Callithrix jacchus: one gene and its partners. The protein of the gene in region 1 purifies or fractionates together with the protein of each later gene. This does not show direct contact. Links are inferred from orthologs where the notes say so. Each region holds a gene or a part of one and is shown in the gene's direction. Other genes may lie near its edges. The genes, in order: ARID1A, BCL7A and DPF2.

Region 1 (5,518 bases):
TGTCCAGCTAGAGCAGAAAGACTAATTGTAAGGAGCATCTAGGAAATGGGCTTGGTCAGTGTGCCCTGAAGCTGAGGGAAGGAGGCAAAACTGTAGGTTGGCTGCTGGGGAGGTACAAAAGTCATAAGGCGGCCCTGGGCGGGGTGCAGTGGCTCACACCTGTAATCCTAGCACTTTGGGAGGCCGAGATGGTTGAATCACCTGAGGTCAGGATTTAAGACCAGCCTGACCAACATGGCAAAACCCTGTCTCTACTAAAAATACAAAAATTAGTGGGGCGTGGTAAACCAGGCGCCTATAGTCCCACTACTTGGGAGGCTGAGGCAGGGGGATCACTTGAACCCAGGAGGCAGAGGTTGCAGTGAGCCAAAATGGCACCACTACACTCCAGCCTGGATGACAAAGTGAGACTCTTTAAATAAATAAATAAGGCGCTGAACATCTGGACAATTAGGACAGTGACTGATGAGGTAAAGGGACCTGTGGTTGTTTGTCACTGAGATATGTAGGAGAGCAGTGGCACAAGAATGTCAAATTTGCAGAGAGTGCCATGCCAAGAAAAAAAATCAGATGTGTAAATCCCCAGTTTGACAAAGCAAGTCAAGCAGGGTAGTCATTGATACTATCACAAGTCTCCATTTTATAAAATGTTAGTTTTTAGTAGTACATTTAAAATAGGATTTAGGGCCAGGTGCAGTGGCTCAAGCTTGTAATCCCAGCACTTTGAGAGTCTGAGGAGGGCAGATGACTTGAGGTGAGGAGGGCAGATCACTTGAGGCCAGGAGTTTGAGACCAGCCTGGCCAACATGGTGAAATGCTGTCTCTACTAAAAATACAAAAATTAGCCAGGTGTGGTGGTGCACTCCTGTAATCCCAGCTACTTGGGAGGCTGAGGTAAGAGTATCGCTTGAGCCCGGGAGGCAGAAATTGCAGCAAGTTAAGCTCGTGCCACTGCATTCCAGCCTAGGCGACAGAGCGAGATTTATTTTTTCTGTCTCAGAAAAAGTAGGGTTTAAATAGGCAGATGATTTGTACACCATTTTTCGGCAGTATACTAAAAAACTGGATTTAACACTTGTTGTGAACTATCCACCAAGCAAGATTAACTTTTGTAATTACCTAAGAACTGTGATTCTACAAAAATGAATTACCTTGCAGCCTGATAGGGCTTGTGGCTTATGGACAGGAAAACCAGGCAGGAGATATACCCCGACTCTTGTGGTTTGGTTATACAGGTCAACAAGAACAAAAAATGGCGGGAACTTGCAACAAACCTCAATGTGGGCACATCAAGCAGTGCTGCCAGCTCCTTGAAAAAGCAGTATATCCAGTGTCTCTATGCCTTTGAGTGCAAGATTGAACGGGGAGAAGATCCTCCCCCAGACATCTTTGCAGCTGCCGATTCCAAGAAGTCCCAGCCCAAGATCCAGCCTCCCTCTCCTGGTAAGGATGGGGTCAGCAGCCCCACTAAGGCTGAGAGGGCCTACTGCACCTGCCTCCAGCAGGATATGCCAAGGATCTGTGCTCTTGCCCTACCACAGGTCTTAACAGGTTGGCTGAATAGAGAGTGGGCAGTGGAAACTTCCCTGGGAGGTACTCTTCAGCAGCCCTTAAATTTTAATTTTTGTTGTGCACCTGGCAACTTGCCAAATGTTTGTAAACTGGTGAATGGGAGGGGCACAAGAAGAGTGGGGAAACTGACAAATGGCAGCAAAGCAGGGCCATCTGGAAGCTTTGGCCCATTGATGTCAGCACCTTAGAATGCAGCTCACACTAGAGCCCTGAATTCCCCAGGGAGCTGAGATAGTAATGAATGAGGAGGGAGTGGGGAAGGGATATGAATGGAACTCTCTGATGGGAGTGCCTCTGCCTACCCTCCATTCTGAGAGGAGGCTGAGACCTAGGGCGAGCCTGGGGAGGAAAGAAGGCCAGGGTGCCTGGAAGGTGGGTGTAAACACATGTGCCCTGGTGTTGACCTCTGAGGGTGTAATGAGTGCCTGAGATGACTCATCAGCTGGGGAGGCCTCAGCAGTGGGATATCTACTGCTGGGAATGGTAACTATTGGAAACATTAAATTACTAGTAGTTTTGTGCTTATCAGCTTAGAAGAACATTTGAACTTGAGGGATGACACTATGCTGGATGCTTTAGAACAGGAGCTCTCCTAGGCTCCTAAAATGCATCCCAGATTTGGATTCCACCCTACCCAGGATTTGGGAGGTTCTGACTGGAGCTCCTGCACCAGCATTACAGGATTTAATAGGTTAGACAAGGTCCTTGGAGAAGTGAAGAGAAATAGCCAGGGAAGCTGGCAGTGACTCAAGGAATCACCAGCATAGTGATGTCATGGCCGCATCACTTCTCTTCTCTACATGTAAAACAAAAAGAGCTACAAAACCCTCAAATTTCCTTCTTTATGACCTGGATATTGCAGATCTTCTGATAAGAATGGTGATCACGCTTGAAAGGCCTTAGGAAGAACTTTCTCAAAGAGATTCTGGGTCATTCATGTGTTTTTGTGAGAGTTAAACACTTCCATACCAAGCAAACTGCTCAACTTGCTTCTCTGTCCACAGCGGGATCAGGATCTATGCAGGGGCCCCAGACTCCTCAGTCAACCAGCAGTTCCATGGCAGAAGGAGGAGACTTAAAGCCACCAACTCCAGCATCCACACCACACAGTCAGATCCCTCCCTTGCCAGGCATGAGGTAAGGCCAAGAGCAGAGGTGGATGGTTGAGGGGATGGTTGGAGATAAGTGCATGGGAACTCCTTTGCAGCCCAAGGGTGGTCCCTGCCTCTGCCTTCTCAGCCAGTGACTCCTGCGTGTCCTGTGTTATATTGGAGGAATTGGTCTATCTGGGGTTTAATTGATTTTCCTCACTCTGGAGCAGGAGCAATTCGGTTGGGATCCAGGATGCCTTTAATGATGGAAGTGACTCCACATTCCAGAAGCGGAATTCCATGACTCCAAACCCTGGGTATCAGCCCAGTATGAATACCTCTGACATGATGGGGCGCATGTCCTATGAGCCAAATAAGGATCCTTATGGCAGCATGAGGAAAGGTGACTGATCTGATTGCTATTGAACTTGTACTCTTAAAGACAGGGCCAGTGAAATGGGGGAAAATCTTGAGTGATTCAGGGTTCTTGTGGAGCCAATCTCTGAGATAATGCATTTCCTGTCCTAACTACCCCTCTTCATCCCTACCTCCTTTGTCTCTTCCCTGGCCTCACCTTGACATCCCTTAACAAGTACATGCTTTTTGCTGGTTGGGGCATCTTTAGAACTCTGTTTTGAACTTGTCTGGAAAACAGTGAGATCAAACCTGAACTCTGAAAAGGGCCTGGGTCTTTGGAGCAGGCAAAGTGTAGATTACTAGGCTTGCCAACTTGCCAGTTTGTTCACTGCCTGCCTTTATACACTCAGCTCCAGGGAGTGATCCCTTCATGTCCTCAGGGCAGGGCCCCAACGGCGGGATGGGTGACCCCTACAGCCGTGCTGCCGGCCCTGGTCTTGGAAATGTGGCAATGGGACCACGACAGCACTATCCCTATGGAGGTCCTTATGACAGAGTGAGGTAAGCATGGCACCAGCTCCTATCCATCCCCCAGCACCCAGAGCTATAGTGGGCTCAATCCACCTCTCCAATTTTCTTTAGGACGGAGCCTGGAATAGGGCCTGAGGGAAACATGGGCACTGGGGCCCCACAACCGAATCTCATGCCTTCTAACCCAGACTCGGGGATGTATTCTCCTAGCCGCTACCCCCCACAGCAGCAGCAGCAGCAGCAACGGTGAGTAAAGCCTGCTCCCAGTGCTGCTGTGACTCAGACTTTGCCACTGCCCACCCTGATCATGTGTTTCTTTGCCTCCTGTAGACATGATTCCTATGGCAATCAGTTTTCCACCCAAGGCACCCCTTCTGGCAGCCCCTTCCCCAGCCAACAGACCACAATGTATCCACAGCAGCAGCAGGTGAGGAGGGTAGCTGGGAATGGACTAGCATGTAGATTCCCTTTGAAAGATAGTTACTAATGTGTTAAAGTCTAAGAAGCTCACTTTAAGTATTTTGGCATTCTTCTCTCACCTGACTGGCCATTTGGGCCCAAAGAGCCAAGTCCTCGATCTCTTCTGTTTGGAGCTGGAAAGGGCTAGAAATAGATCTTATTTTGATTTTTAGGTTTTATATATTTTTCTACTTAGAGCAAGGGAGGGGAAGAAAGAGTGGTGGTTGCTTTTGGAAACAACTTAAAAAGACAGTTTGTTAAGGTGATTCCTTTGTTTCCTTGGAGTCTGTGTCCACCATTCATTTGGTTGTAGCCATCTTGGCATCTGTGGGCTTTATGTCTCTGAGTGCAGAGCATTAACTTGTCCTCTGCTTCTCTCTGCCTTAGAATTACAAGCGGCCAATGGATGGCACATATGGCCCTCCTGCTAAGCGGCATGAAGGGGAGATGTACAGTGTGCCATACAGCACTGGGCAGGGGCAGCCTCAGCAGCAGCAGTTGCCCCCAGCCCAGCCCCAGCCTGCCAGCCAGCAACAAGCTGCCCAGCCTTCCCCTCAGCAAGATGTATACAACCAGTATGGCAATGCCTATCCTGCCACTGCCACTGCTGCTACTGAGCGCCGACCAGCAGGCGGCCCCCAGAACCAATTTCCATTCCAGTTTGGCCGAGACCGTGTCTCTGCACCCCCTGGCACCAGTGCCCAGCAAAACATGCCACCGCAAATGATGGGCGGCCCCATACAGGCATCAGCTGAGGTTGCTCAGCAAGGCACTATGTGGCAGGGGCGTAATGACATGACCTATAATTATGCCAACAGGCAGAGCACGGGCTCTGCCCCCCAGGGCCCCGCCTATCATGGCGTGAACCGAACAGATGAAATGCTGCACACAGATCAGAGGGCCAATCATGAAGGCCCATGGCCTTCGCATGGCACACGCCAGCCCCCATATGGTTCCTCTGCTCCCGTGCCCCCCATGACAAGGCCCCCTCCATCTAACTACCAGCCCCCACCAAGCATGCAGAATCACATTCCTCAGGTATCAAGCCCTGCTCCCCTGCCCCGGCCAATGGAGAACCGTACCTCTCCTAGCAAGTCTCCATTCCTGCACTCTGGGATGAAAATGCAGAAGGCAGGTCCCCCAGTGCCTGCCTCACACATAGCACCTGCCCCTGTGCAGCCCCCCATGATTCGGCGGGATATCACCTTCCCACCTGGCTCTGTTGAAGCCACACAGCCTGTGTTGAAGCAGAGGAGGCGGCTCACAATGAAAGACATTGGTAAGGAGACCTCCCTGATTGGGTTGCCTAATCTGCCCCTTTTTGTCTTGTCCATTGTTCCCTCCACCTTAATATTCTGGTCCAGTGTTGACAAAAATAGAACCAAAGAACTTTGGAAAAGGAAGAAATAAGCCAACTAAAGGTTTTCCTTCAAAACATTGCCATACAATGACGTCCTAGACAGATAGTTTAGAAGCCACGAGGGGCTGGTATGTGTCATCTCCCAGAC
Region 2 (6,168 bases), on another chromosome or scaffold:
TGTTAGATATATTTTTTAAAAGTTCCGTGTGGCCCAAAGCACATATCTGTTGATCTCATATCTCTGTCAGATCTGTTTTATGACCTGCTGTTGCATATTTTCCCAGAAAATCCTCAGAACGATTCTTTGAGGTATTTGTATTTGTTCCTTTTTGTTTTGCTTTGTTTTTTTGAGACGCAGTCTTGCTCTGTCACCTAGGCTGGAGAGCAACGGCATGATCTTGGCTCACTGCAACCCCAGGTTCAGGCAATTCTCCTGCCTCAGCCTCCGGAGTCCCTGAGATTACAGGCGCGCACCACCACGCCCCGCTAATTTTTGTATTTTCAGTAGAGACAGAGTTTCACCCTGTTGGCCAGGCTGGTCTCAAACTCCTGACCTTGTGATTTGCCCACCTCAGCCTCCTAAAGTGCTGGAATTACAGATGTGAACACCACGCCTGGCCTTTTTTTTTTTTTTGAGACAGGGTCTCACTCTGTCACCCAGGCTGGAGTGCAGTGGTGTGATCTCCACTCACTGCAACTTCCATCCCCCAGGTTCAAGCGAGTCTCCTGTCTCAGCCTCCAGAGTAGCTGGGATTATAGGTGCCTGCCACCGTGCCTGGCTAATTTTGTATTTTTAGTAGAATGGGTTTCAGCATGTTGGCCAAGCTGGTCTCGAACTCCTGACTTCAGTTGATTCGCCCATCTCAGCCTTCCAAAGTGCTGGGATTACAGGCATGAGCCACTGCGCCCGGCCAGCATTTGTTCTTTTCTTCATTATTCACGTCAGGAGCTTGAGTTTCATAATAGTAAGAATAAATGCCTAGGAAAAGGCCTGCAGTTTCTCCATTTCCTCAGTAGCGTTTTCCCCAAAGACCAAACCCTCAGGGGAAACTGGTCTAGAGTAGCGACAGCTACAACCTTGTTGTATGTTCAGGGCTGCAACCTTGACCATTCCCGGGACTCAGTTTCCCCAGCTGTGAAATGGCAGGCCCAGGGCATGACATTCGGGCCACTCTCAGTCTCCCACTTCATTTCAGGCGCGCGTTAGCTCTGGTCCAGCCGGTTCCGATGCAGCTGAAGACCAAGGTGCGGCACCCAGGTTACCCTGATCATCGCAGATTCCTCTCCGGGGCTCTGTTCTGAGGCCTCAAAAGTCCTCCTTGTAGATGGGACCAGTCCCTTGTACCCGCTAGGGTCGTTTCGGCAGCAGCAGCGCCTGGTCTCAGTCTGGTACTGAAGTCAGGAGTGGCTTAAGGGGAAATTGTGGTCCTCTGGTGAACCCGAGCGAAGACCCTCTCGCTTTATTTCTGAGATAAAGCGGGGGCAGGAGGAAGAGTCCCTGTTACGATGCTGATCATCATCGAGCTTTTCCTGAGCTCGATGAAATTCTTTAGGTCGCATGATCGAGAGTCTCTCGTGGTCTGCCTGGCCCCAGGCACCTTCCTACGAACCCGGTGTTCCAAAAGGACAAGGCCTGGGGCAGGCGACGTCCTAGCTCGCATTCGAACAGGGCCGCGGGCCAGCAGAGACGCGCGATGCCCAACTCTTTCCGAGAGCACCTCGCGTCCCGAACCGGCGCCTTCAACTCGGGGAAGTCAAGAGTCCGGCAAGAAACTTGACCGCACCCGCCGCCGCGCTCCAGGCCCAGGCAGGGGCTGCTGAGCCGGCTCCCCAGGAAACGTGCTCCAGCGCCCCCGCAGACCGGCGGCCTCCCGGGGACCCCTCGGCACCTGCGGCCTCCGAGGAAGGGTCCGCGCGCACTTCAAGCCCGCCCCCGCCGCGCGCCCGGAGCCGCCTCCCTGGGAGAGCGTCCGGGGCGTCCCCCCTGGGGGCGCGGGAGGCCCGGGGGCGCTGCCCGGTGGCCGCCGCGCCCGGAGGCCGCACCGCCGGCGGCGGCAGCAGCGCGGCTCCCCCTGCTCCGTGCAGCTGCCGCCCGGCGCTTGCGCACTGGGCCCAGCGCGCGGCGGCCCCAGGCTTTGTGTGTGTGTGTGTGAGTGTGTGTGTGAGTGTGTGTGTGAGTGTGTGCGTGTGAGAGTGCGAGTGTCTGTGCGCCAGTGAGTGAGCGGCGGGCGGGCGCGAGTGTGGCCGCCGCGGAGCGCGAGCAGGACCCGGCGGGCGCGCTCCCCAGCCTCCGTCTCCCCGCCGGAACCATGTCGGGCAGGTCGGTTCGAGCCGAGACCAGGAGCCGGGCCAAAGATGATATCAAGAGGGTCATGGCGGCGATCGAGAAAGTGCGCAAATGGTAAGCGGAGGCGCCTGCCGCCCGCCGCCTCCCCGGCCGCCCCGAGCCCGAGCGCGGCTCCAGAAAGCCGCGGGGCGCAGCGCCCGGGCCGCCTGCCCCGGCCCGGCCCCGCCGCGGGCCCCGGGACTTGGCTAGGGCGCGCGGGCGGGCGGGCGGTGCGCGAGCCGGGTCACCTGCGCCAGGCGGGGGCCGCGGCCGCTGCCCAGGTGCGCTCGCTCCTGTCGCCCACCTGGCGCGGCGGCGGCGGCGGCCCGGAGGCGGCGGGCGCCGGGGCCGGGCGGTTGGAGCCGCGGGCAGCCCCCACCGCGGCGCTTGGCTCCCGGGAGGGGGGCTCGGGGCCGGCCCCAGAAGCCATTTCGTTTTGTGCAAGTCACATGAAAGCGGCTTCCCGCGCGCCGGGGCCGTGATGCCGGCGGCGGCGGGGAGAGCGCGAGCTCCATTGTGCAGACTCCGAGCGGGCCGCCGCCGCCGTCTCCTCCCCGCGCGCCCTGGCCCGCGCCCCGCCGCTCTCCGCCGGCCCCGGCCCGCCCGGCTGCCCGCTCCCGCCTCCCGGGCCCGGCGCCCTCGAGTCTGCGGAGTTTGCAGAGCGCGAGCCGTTTAAATTTAGCGCTTTGGGCTGCCTGGAGCGAGAGCTCTCGGCGACCAGGAAAGATGGGGGCGAGCGCCGGGAGCCAGCGGCCAGGGGCGCGGGGCGCCCACGTCCCACCCCGCTCTGCGCGGCGCCCGGGGCGGGGGGCTCGGGCCAGCAGATGTTTTTGGCCAGAAGCCGTTGGTCCTGGGCCGCGGCTGCCTTTCCACACCGCGAGCTCGTGTTTGTTTTGCGGAGGGAGCCGTTGTTTTTGTTCTCTGCACGGGGGTGAGGAGGACTCGGCGGCTGTCGCCGCCGCCGCCGCGCGTGGTTTTCGGTCTCCGGTTAGCGTCCGCCCGGCGTGGCCGGGTAGTCATTTAGGGGATCGAACCTCTCCGCGGCCTCGTCCGGGTCTGCTCGGAATCGTCCTCTGGGCCAGGCCCGAGGCGCCAGCAGATCGCTAGGTTGGGTCAGACTTGTTGAAAACTCCCCGCTCCCTGATTTCAACTTTATTATTTTTTTCCCACGCCTTCACCGGGGTCTGGGAGGGAGAAGAGCCGCTGCGATGCTGGCCCCGAGTGTCAGCGCCCGCGGGCTCGTCCCGACCCTTTATTTCGAGCCTGGAAGCCGGGCAGGCCCCTTGGCAAGGGATGTTTACGTTTAGGGGTGTCATTTCTCAAGTAGTGCCTCGGTCTCTAAAAGCCACTGGGGGCGAGCCTCCGGTGTGGCGGTGTCACAAGTTAGCTGTCCCTTCTGAGTCAAACCCAACAAAAAAGGCAAGAGGAAAATCAATAAAGTCCACGTGCTCTCGGGCCTCCTATGGAAAGGGCTGGCTGCGATGGCCGGATGCCCGGCCGTGGGCTGGGTTTGACTCCAGTGGGACAAAGAATTTTCAGAACCGGGAGAAGGGGAGGCTTTCCAAAGTTGAGATCCAAGTCGTCGATGTCTCGGGAGCTCCCCTGGTGCGCAGGGCGCCCGGTGCCCGACTGGAGCCATTTAAAAATGGCAGAAACAGCTGCAGGCCAACACACACACACTAGAAAGCAACCCGCAGCCCCCTCCACTGTGGGATTCCCCGTGGGAACCCTGAAGTGGCTCCCCTCCTCGCCTCAGCCCCTGTGCAAAGAAAGAACTGGTGTGTCTGTGCCTGGGTCCCTTCTGTCGCCGGCCTGAAGGTTGGGAAGCAGCCGGCAAGCCGCCTTTCTCTGCTTGGGGAGGCGTGGTGGGGCCTCCTGCCCCAGGTTCCCGGCAGGGCAGAGGCTCCTGCACTCTGACAGCTGCTCCCGCAGGGCGGCCAGCTGCTCTGCAGGGAGGGCAGATGGAGAGATGGGGCTTTCCACCCCGCGGGCCCCAGGGTGGCCAGCCTGGAGGCCTTCCAGCCCACTGAGCCCACGGGGACCAGGCCTGTAGTTGGGGCTGAGGGAGGCGGGGCTGCGCCTCTACGCCTCCCTGAGTTTGGGGAAACATCACATCGTGTCCTCTGAAGACCTCAGGCGTTGGGATCTCGAGGTCGGGCTTCCAGTTCACTTTCTTGCCGTGACCTTGGGCATATCATGATCACTTCTCTAACCATGGTGACCGGGGCTCTGTGCGTGGCCTCTGGGTCGCCTCGGGTTGTTGAGGACCAGTGAGGTCACGCCTCCAAAAGCAGCGAGCCACGGGCGCAGGAGGAGCAGTTATTCAGGGTTGTCCCTATTGTAAGGTGGACTTTATAGAAACTTGGCTTTCTGATTTTTTTTTTTTTTTTTGGCCCCTTCTAAGTGAAAGCCTTGGACTTATTGCCCAGGTTTCTCCGGCCCCTGAGAAGCCATCGCCCACCTTCTCCGTGCCTTTGGATTGGGTCTTCGACTCAGCCCACAAAACTTTGGGTTGTTTATTAATTGTGTGGCCACCAACCATGCATTTCACCACTGGCCGGGAGGTGGGGTTGCCAGGTTTAAGCAGAAAAAATGCAGCACACCCAGTTAAATTCAAATTTCAGATAATGTTTTAAAAATAAATGTTTTTGTGTGTAAGTATGTCTCATGCCATATTTGGGACATACTTATACGAAAACATTATCTGTTTATCTGAAATGGAAATTTAACAAGGAATCCTGTATTTTTTTACCCAGAGGGGAGCTGAGGTGTCTGGCAGACGATTTGGCCCCGTGAGCCTTGGGTGGGTTTCTCCTCAGCCCCAGTGACCCCTAAAATTACACCCCCTCAAACCATCCCCTGGCACTTCCCCCACCCCCAGAAAAAGCTGTGGCCTTCCTCTCATTTCCCTGTTTTCTGTCTGGTGTTTCAGCAAGACAGGCCGGTGCAGTGTTAAGTAAGCAGAATGTGGCAGAAGGGAAAACAAAATGGTGGGCCTCTTTTGGGAAACCGGGCCAGGATTCCGAGGCCCTGTGCTGGAGGAGGAAAGAAGGGGCCTGTGGGAGACGAAGGCTTGGGCTGCAGCATAGGCTTGGAGTCCCAGTGTGGTGGCTCACGCCTATAATCCCAGCACTCTGGGAGGCTGAGATGGGAGGATGACTTGAACCTAGGAGTTTGAGACCAGCCTGGGCAACATAGTGAGACTCCATCTCTTTTTTATTTTTATTTTTCATTTTTTTGAGACGGAGTTTCCTTCTTGTCACCCAAGCATGAGGGCAATGGTGTGATCTCGGTTCACCACAACCTCTGCCTCCTGGGTTCAAGCGATTTTCTTACCTCAGCCTCTCAAGTAGCTAGGATTACAGGCTCCACTTTTAGTAGAGATGGGGTTTCTCCATGTCGGTCAGGCTGGTCTTGAACTCAGGTGATTTATGCCTCGGCCTCCCAAAGTGCTGGGATTACAGGCGTGACCCACCGCGGTCTTAATTTTAAAAAAAGGAAAAGAAAAACTAGGCCAGGTGTGGCGGCTCACACCTGTAATCCCAGCACTTTTGGAGGCCGAGGTGGTCAGATCACCTAAGGTTAGGAGTTTGAGACCAACCTGGCCAACATGGTGAAACTCTGTCTCTACTAAAAATACAAAAAATTAGCCAGGTGTGGTGGTGCACACCTGTAATCCCAGCTACTCGGGAGGCTGAGACAGGAGAATCACTTGATCCTGGGAGGCAGAGGTTGCAGTGAGCCAAGATCGCACCACTGCACTCCATCCTGGGGGACAGAGATAGACTCCATCTCAATTAAAAAAAAAAAAAATTAGACAGGCATGGTGGCCCTTACCTGTAATCCCAACTACTTGGGAGACTAAGCCCAGAGGGTCACTTGAGCCCAGGAGGTTGAGGCTGCAGTGAGCTACGATCATGCCACTGCACTCCAGCCTGGGTGACAGAGTGAGAACCTGTCTCAAAAAACAAAACCAGGCAGGGCGCAGTGGCTCATGCCTGTAATCCCAGCACTTTGGGA
Region 3 (6,312 bases), on another chromosome or scaffold:
CCTGCCTCAGCCTCCCGAGTAGCTTGGATTACAGGCACGCGCCACCACGTTAAGAAACATTAAGTTTATCCTGCCCCCATGGCTCCTTTGTGGAGGATACCTTTTAGTTTGTACTTAGTGGTGGGCGGGTAACAGCTGCCTACTTGGTATAGTCTGGAGTTATGTGTATATGTAGAACACCTGTGCATTAGTAAGAATCACCTGTCAAAGAGTGAATAATTACGTGGATGAATCTCTGCTCAGGGCCTTCAGTCCTGGAGAGCTGCAAGGCCCGCAGGCTCTCAGGCTGTTGGTCCCCAGGACAGATCCACTCTGTTGGCTATCCGGGTGTCTGCCTCTCTGAATACCTTCAGCCGCCTGGGTGGGAGTCCCCCAACTGAGCTAGTTCTCGGTAACCATGCCCAGCTAATTTTTGTATTTTTAGTAGATACAAAGTTTCACTATGTTGGCCAGGGTGGTGTCCAACCCCTGACCTCAAGTGATCCACCTGCCTTGGCCTCCCAAAGTGTTGGAATTACAGGCGTGAGCCACTGTGCCCGGTCACCCAGCTAATTTTTAAAAAAACATTTTAGGTCAGGCACGGGGGCCCATGCCTACAATCCCAGCACTATGGGAAGCTCAGGCAGGCAGATCACCTGAGGTCAGGAGTTCAAGACCAGCCTGGCCAACATGGTGAAACCCCCATCTCTACTAAAAATACAAAACTTAGCCAGACATGGTGGCACAGGCCTGTAATCCCAGCTACTTGGGAAGCTGAGGCAGGAGAATCTCTTGAACCCGGGAGGTGGAGTTTGCAGTGAGCCGAGATCATACCACTGCACTTCAGCCTGGGCAACAGAGCAAGACTGTGTCTCACAAAAAAAAAATCTACTACCATCTTCTCTGGGTTTTTCTTCCAAGCTGCTAACACCTATTCTGCATGTTTTGATACTCGTACAGGGTTAGGAATGACAAAAACTCTCACCTGCTAAGTATGATTTTAAGACACAGCAATGGTAAGATGTGTCCAGCTTCTGAAATATTAAAATGAAGGGGGAGATTTATGTGCATCTTGGAATTGGTGATATAAGATATATTGGAAAGATGACAAGTACCAAAGACCAAGCCCTGAGGATTCTGACAGTTAGAGGCTGAGCAGAGGAAGAGACTGGAAGGAACTGCCAGTGGGGTAGGACAACCGGGAGGGGGTGGCGTCTCAAAGATCTGCAGAAGAGTTTGAAAAGCAGAGTGGCCAACAGTGTCATGGGGTTGACAGGCCCATGAGGACAGAGAAGACATCTCTAAATCTGCTGAAAGGGAGGTCAGGGTTACAGGAGCTAGTTCAAGTGAACAGGTGGGAACCAATTGGGTGGAAGGGGGACTTGGAAACAAGGCAACAGAGACAGGGAGTACTATTTGCTTTGAAAGACTGAAAAGAGGTGATAGTGAAGGTCGACTGTGCTGGGGTTTTTGTTTGTTTATTTTTTTTGACACAAGGTTCGCTTTGTCGCCCAGGCTGGAGTGCAGTGGTGCGATTACGGCTCACTCAGCTTCTACCCTCCTGTGCTCAAGCGATCTGGTCACCTCAGCATCTTGAGTAGCTGGGGCCACAGGCACATGCCACCACACCCGGGTAATTTTTTAATTTTTAGTAGAGACGAGGACTCCCTAAGTTTCCCAGGCTGGTCTCAAACTCCTGAGCTCAAAGCAATCCTCCGGCCTCCGCCACCCAAAGTGCTGGGAGCCACCGCGACGGGCCTCCTCCAGCTCTTTTTTTTTTAAGGTGGGGTCTCGCTCTGTAGCCCAGGCAGGAGTGCAATGGTGCAATCCCAGTTCACTGCAACCTCCGCCTTCCCGGGTTCAAAGGATTCTCCCCCTCAGCCTCCCAAGTAGCTGGGATTACAGGCACCTGACATCATGCCCGGCTAATTTTTCTATTTTTAGTAAAGGCAGGGTTTCACCATGTTGGCCAGACTGGTCTCGAACTCCTGAGCCCAACCGATCCACGGGCCTTGGCCTCCCAAAGTGCTGGGATTACAGGCGTGAGCCACCTCGCCCTGCCCCACCTCTTCTAGATAGAAGAGGCGGCCCGCCTCCAACCGAGCTCCGGGACGCATGCCAGTCTCCGGTTTCGCCTGCGCATCGGTCTCCCGTGCGGTCTCACGCGTTTCCTTCCCGGCCCCCGCAGACAAGCGTAGAGCTTTCTTCAGTACTCGCTCTCGTGCGCGCGCCCGGGCGGCGCCTGCGCAGAGGGCGAGGAACCTGGTGCCCCCGTGTGGTCCCGGCGCCTGCGCGCTGCGGACTCTGGGGCCTCCCGGCCCGAGGGAGAGGAGCAGGGAAGATGGCGGCTGTGGTGGAGAATGTCGTGAAGCTGTGAGTGGTCGTTTCTTTCTCTCCTAGGGCGGCAGGTTTTGTAAAGGGCCTGGGAGGAGGGGGCCGTGCGGGAAGAGATGAGACGGAGAGAGGGACATGCCCGGCAAGATCGTGTTGCGACTCCTGGTGGGGAGGGCAACAGGAGACTCTGGAGAAGACGTTGCGCTTCTTTGGAAACTTGTGGAGGCCCTGATGGGGGCACACTGGAGCCTCGACGGGCGGCCTCCCTGCGGGGCTGTGTAGCCTGAGCGTTCCTCGGGGCTGACGGTTTCTAGAGCATGGCGCCCTGCCTGCGCGCGAGACTCACGGTCCCGGTCCTCTCCCCAGACGCCTCAGTCCCGAGGAGCGGGGCTGAGGCCCGGGCGGCCCCTGGCGAGTCCGCCGCCCAAACCGCCCGGTCCCGTCCCGTCCGCTGCAGCAACAGGGTCGGCGGCCCCAGTGGGGTGCACTGCGGGGCTGGATGTTTTAGTTCCGAGCGGCCCCGTGACGTTTGGGAGGATCTTGGGTGGCGGGCACCTAAGACTGCAAATATTCTTGGGAAGAATTTGTCGAAGAGCGGATACAAGAAGGGAAGGAACTTCAGGGGAGCGGGCCTTGGCGCAGTCCAGAAGCAGCCATCAAAAACCTGCGGCTGGACCGAAGCCGTTCAGGACAGCTCAGTAGCCTAAAGGGACATCCAGATGGGTATTCTTCCTATTTCACGGTACCATTGTGCTGGCCAGATATCAAGCAGAGTTAAAGTTAGTATTTGTTGGGGCCATGGACACTGGCCTATGAACTGCTTCCTGTCAGTTAAAGATGCTTTGGGACTTGATTAATTCCTACAGAAGAATGAGAACGAGTTTTGGACTGGGTTAATGCCCCCTAGGCGAATAGAGCTTCTTTTAATGGGTACGTTGGGCTTGGTGGAAGGGTGGGAAAATTGAGGATGTCTAGCTGTCCAGTCAGGGCTGTTGGATTTTGACGGAATGAATGACAGTGGAAGAGTGGGAAAATTGAGGATGTCTAGCTGTCCAGTCAGGGCTGTTGGATTTTGACTGAATGACAGTGGAAGGGTGGGAAAATTGAGGATGTCTAGCTGTCCAGTCAGGGCTGTTGGATTTTGACTGAATGACAAAGTAGAGGTTCGCTAGCTGTTCTAAGGGACTCACCGCTTTTCATCCGTCTTTATCGTGGGCTGAGCCCCACTCTTCCTAAGAGCCTTTTTAAAGAGTAAACTGCTTCTCCCTCATGCCCTGAAGCCTTTTCTTTGAGAATGCTTTCCCACTTCCATTAAGCTAAGTGCCTTTCCTCCTCGTGTGTGTGTGTGTGTGTGTGTGTGTGTGTGTGTTTCATTTAACTTGCTTTCTGATCTATCCTGTCTCTTTCAGCCACCCTCCTCCCAACACTATTGTCTTTCTCTCTGATCTGCCCACTCCAGTTTCGCAGCTCTCTTGAGGCTGACATTTTTCTCAATTTAGAAATGACACTGTTTGTATACCGGTTATCCTTCCTGGCTGAGATGTTCTTTGTTTCCCTGCGTCTTTGTTGACTTCCCTTATCCCATTGGAAGGGGATGTTTTACACGGGTTTCTCCAAAAATAAAAAGAAAGATTCCCCTTGTACTGGAGGAATATCAGACTTGCCTATGTTTTGAGAGTTAAACGTAGTGGGGCTTTTTGTGTTGGAAGACTTTCCTCAGGGAGATAGGGTTGCCAGTGCTTTCAAGTTGTGTCATAAGTGAGGGGTTCCCATTTAAACCGCATGACTTCTGATTTCTCTTGGAAAAACTATAGAGATTGTTTCACCTGCCACTAATTCCTGAATGCCAGTAATGAGAAACCAACTTTCTCCTCATTTCTGGCTGTACAGGGCCTCAGACCACAGTTAATACGTACTCCTGCAGAATGATCCCTTTAACAAGGGCTTCCATTCTTCCAGTTCATTGGAAAGAGATGCTTTTCTGGCACTTCTCTTGATTATAGTGTGCCTAGTCTTCTGACAGTTGATATTATACACTGAGGTCGGGACCACTAGCTCATATTTTCTTTTATTTTTTTGAGACAGAGTCTTGCTGTTGTCAGCCCAGGATGGAGTGCAGTGACACCATCTCGGCTCACTGCAACCTCAGCCTCCCAGGTTCCAGCAATTATCCTGCCTCAGCCTCCTGAATAGCTGAAAGGCAACCCACCACCACACCCAGCGGGTTTCAACATGTTGGCCGGGCTGGTCTTGAACTCCTGACCTCAGAGGTGATCCACGGGTCTCAGCCTCATAAAATGCTAGGATTACAGGCATGAGTCACCGCACCCAGCCACTCAACTTTCTGACTTGCATCTTGTCCTGGGAGAAGAATTTTCTTATTTGTAAATTTCTGTCCCTTCCAAATGTGATGTCAGAAATAAAAATCTTGGCTGAGCAGGGTGGCTCACGCCTGTTATCCCAACACTTGGGGAGGCCAAGGTGGGTGGATCGCTTGAGGTCAGGAGTTCAAGACCAGCCTGGCCAACATGGTGAGACTCCATCTCTACTAAAAATAGAAAAATTAGCCGGGTGTACTGGCACACACCTGTAGTCCCAGCTACTCAGGAGGCTGAGGCATATGAATTGTCTGAACCCGGGAGGCAGAGGTTTCAGTGAGCTGATATCACACCACTGCCCTCCAGCCTGAGTGACACCTTAAGACTCTGTCTTTAAAAAAAAGAGGCTCGGCACAGTGGCTCACAGCTATAATCCCAGCACGTTGGGAAGCCAAGGCAGGCAGATCACAAGGTCAGTTTTCAAGACCAGCATGGCCAATGTGGTGAAACCCAGTCTCTACTAAAAATACAAAAATTAGGCATGGTGGTGCGCGCCTGTAGTCCCAGTTAGTTACTCAGGAGGCTGAGGCAGGAGAATTGCTTGAACCCAGGAGGTGGAGGTTGCAGCGAGTTGAGATGGTGCCACTGTACTCCAGCCTGGGCAACAGAGCAATATTCTGTCTCGAGAAAAAAAAAAATCTTTTAAGGTTCTTACGAGGAGAGTAAAATAAAAGTATAGCTGTAGCTGCTGATTGGTTTTTAAACTTTCTATAGACAAGAGCTAGAGGCCGGCACAGTGGCTCATGCCTGTAATCCTAGCACTTAGGGAGGCCAAAGCAGGCAGATCATGAGATCAAGAGTTTGAGACCAGCTTGGCCAAAATGGTGAAACCCCATCTACACTAAAAATGCAAAAGTTAGCTGGGCATACTGGCGTGTGTCTGTAAGCTCATCTACTCAGGAGCCTGAGGCAGGAGGATCATTGGAACCTGGGAGGCAGAGGTTGCAGTGAGCTGTCATGCCACTGCACTCCAGCCTGGGCAAAAGACTAAGACTCTGTCTTAAAAAAAAAAAAAAAAAAAAAAAAAAAAGATCTAGAGAACAGTGCTAATTTAGCTTGACATTTCTTGCTTAGAGAGCGTTAAGTTTTTGTTGTTGTTGTTGTTTTGTTTTGTTTTGTTTTAAGAGATAGAGCCTCCCTCTGTTCCCCAGGCTGAAGTGCAATGGTGTAACCTTGGTTTACTGCACCCTCAGCTTCCTAGGCTCAAATCATCCCCTACCTCATTTCCCCCAGGGACTTCGTAGGACCACAGGTGTGCACCACCGTGCCTAGCTGATTTTTTTTTTAAAACATTTTGTAGAGATGAGATCTCACTATATTGCCCAGGGTGGTCTCTCACTCTTGAGCTCAAGAGATCCACCTGCCTTGTCCTTTCAAAGTGCTAGGATTACAGGTATGAGCCACTGTGCCCAGCTCCCTTAAGTTCTTAAGAGCTCACTCTCATTCTGTCTTGTTCTCTCTTCATCACATTCTCCCCACACATACACTTAAGTGTTTCGTTCCCAGCCCTTTACCCCCAAGACTGTTTGCCTTACCTTCTGAAATCCCACAAAGCTCACAAGAGCTTTGACAGAACATCTCTCATCCATTCCCCCAAAACTGTTTCCAGCCTCTTTGCTCT

The links.
Region 2: the proteins of ARID1A (region 1) and BCL7A purify together in Homo sapiens (affinity purification with mass spectrometry; 5 studies listed by BioGRID and IntAct, counting the BioPlex papers as one, with this or other methods). This does not show direct contact. The link is inferred for Callithrix jacchus from reciprocal best matches to the Homo sapiens genes ARID1A and BCL7A.
Region 3: the proteins of ARID1A (region 1) and DPF2 purify together in Homo sapiens (affinity purification with mass spectrometry; 6 studies listed by BioGRID and IntAct, counting the BioPlex papers as one, with this or other methods). This does not show direct contact. The link is inferred for Callithrix jacchus from reciprocal best matches to the Homo sapiens genes ARID1A and DPF2.

Annotation. Positions count from the first base shown.
Region 1 is NC_133508.1:63,425,164-63,430,681, forward strand, and holds part of ARID1A (AT-rich interactive domain-containing protein 1A), read left to right. Parts: intron 1-1,235; coding exon 1,236-1,443; intron 1,444-2,576; coding exon 2,577-2,709; intron 2,710-2,890; coding exon 2,891-3,066; intron 3,067-3,430; coding exon 3,431-3,581; intron 3,582-3,662; coding exon 3,663-3,797; intron 3,798-3,881; coding exon 3,882-3,978; intron 3,979-4,397; coding exon 4,398-5,289; intron 5,290-5,518. UniProt on the Homo sapiens protein: Involved in transcriptional activation and repression of select genes by chromatin remodeling (alteration of DNA-nucleosome topology).
Region 2 is NC_133510.1:125,227,102-125,233,269, forward strand, and holds the start of BCL7A (B-cell CLL/lymphoma 7 protein family member A), read left to right. Parts: upstream 1-1,959; 5' UTR 1,960-2,131; coding exon 2,132-2,223; intron 2,224-6,168.
Region 3 is NC_133511.1:122,416,297-122,422,608, forward strand, and holds the start of DPF2 (zinc finger protein ubi-d4), read left to right. Parts: upstream 1-2,278; 5' UTR 2,279-2,320; coding exon 2,321-2,352; intron 2,353-6,312. UniProt on the Homo sapiens protein: Plays an active role in transcriptional regulation by binding modified histones H3 and H4. Is a negative regulator of myeloid differentiation of hematopoietic progenitor cells. Might also have a role in the development and maturation of lymphoid cells.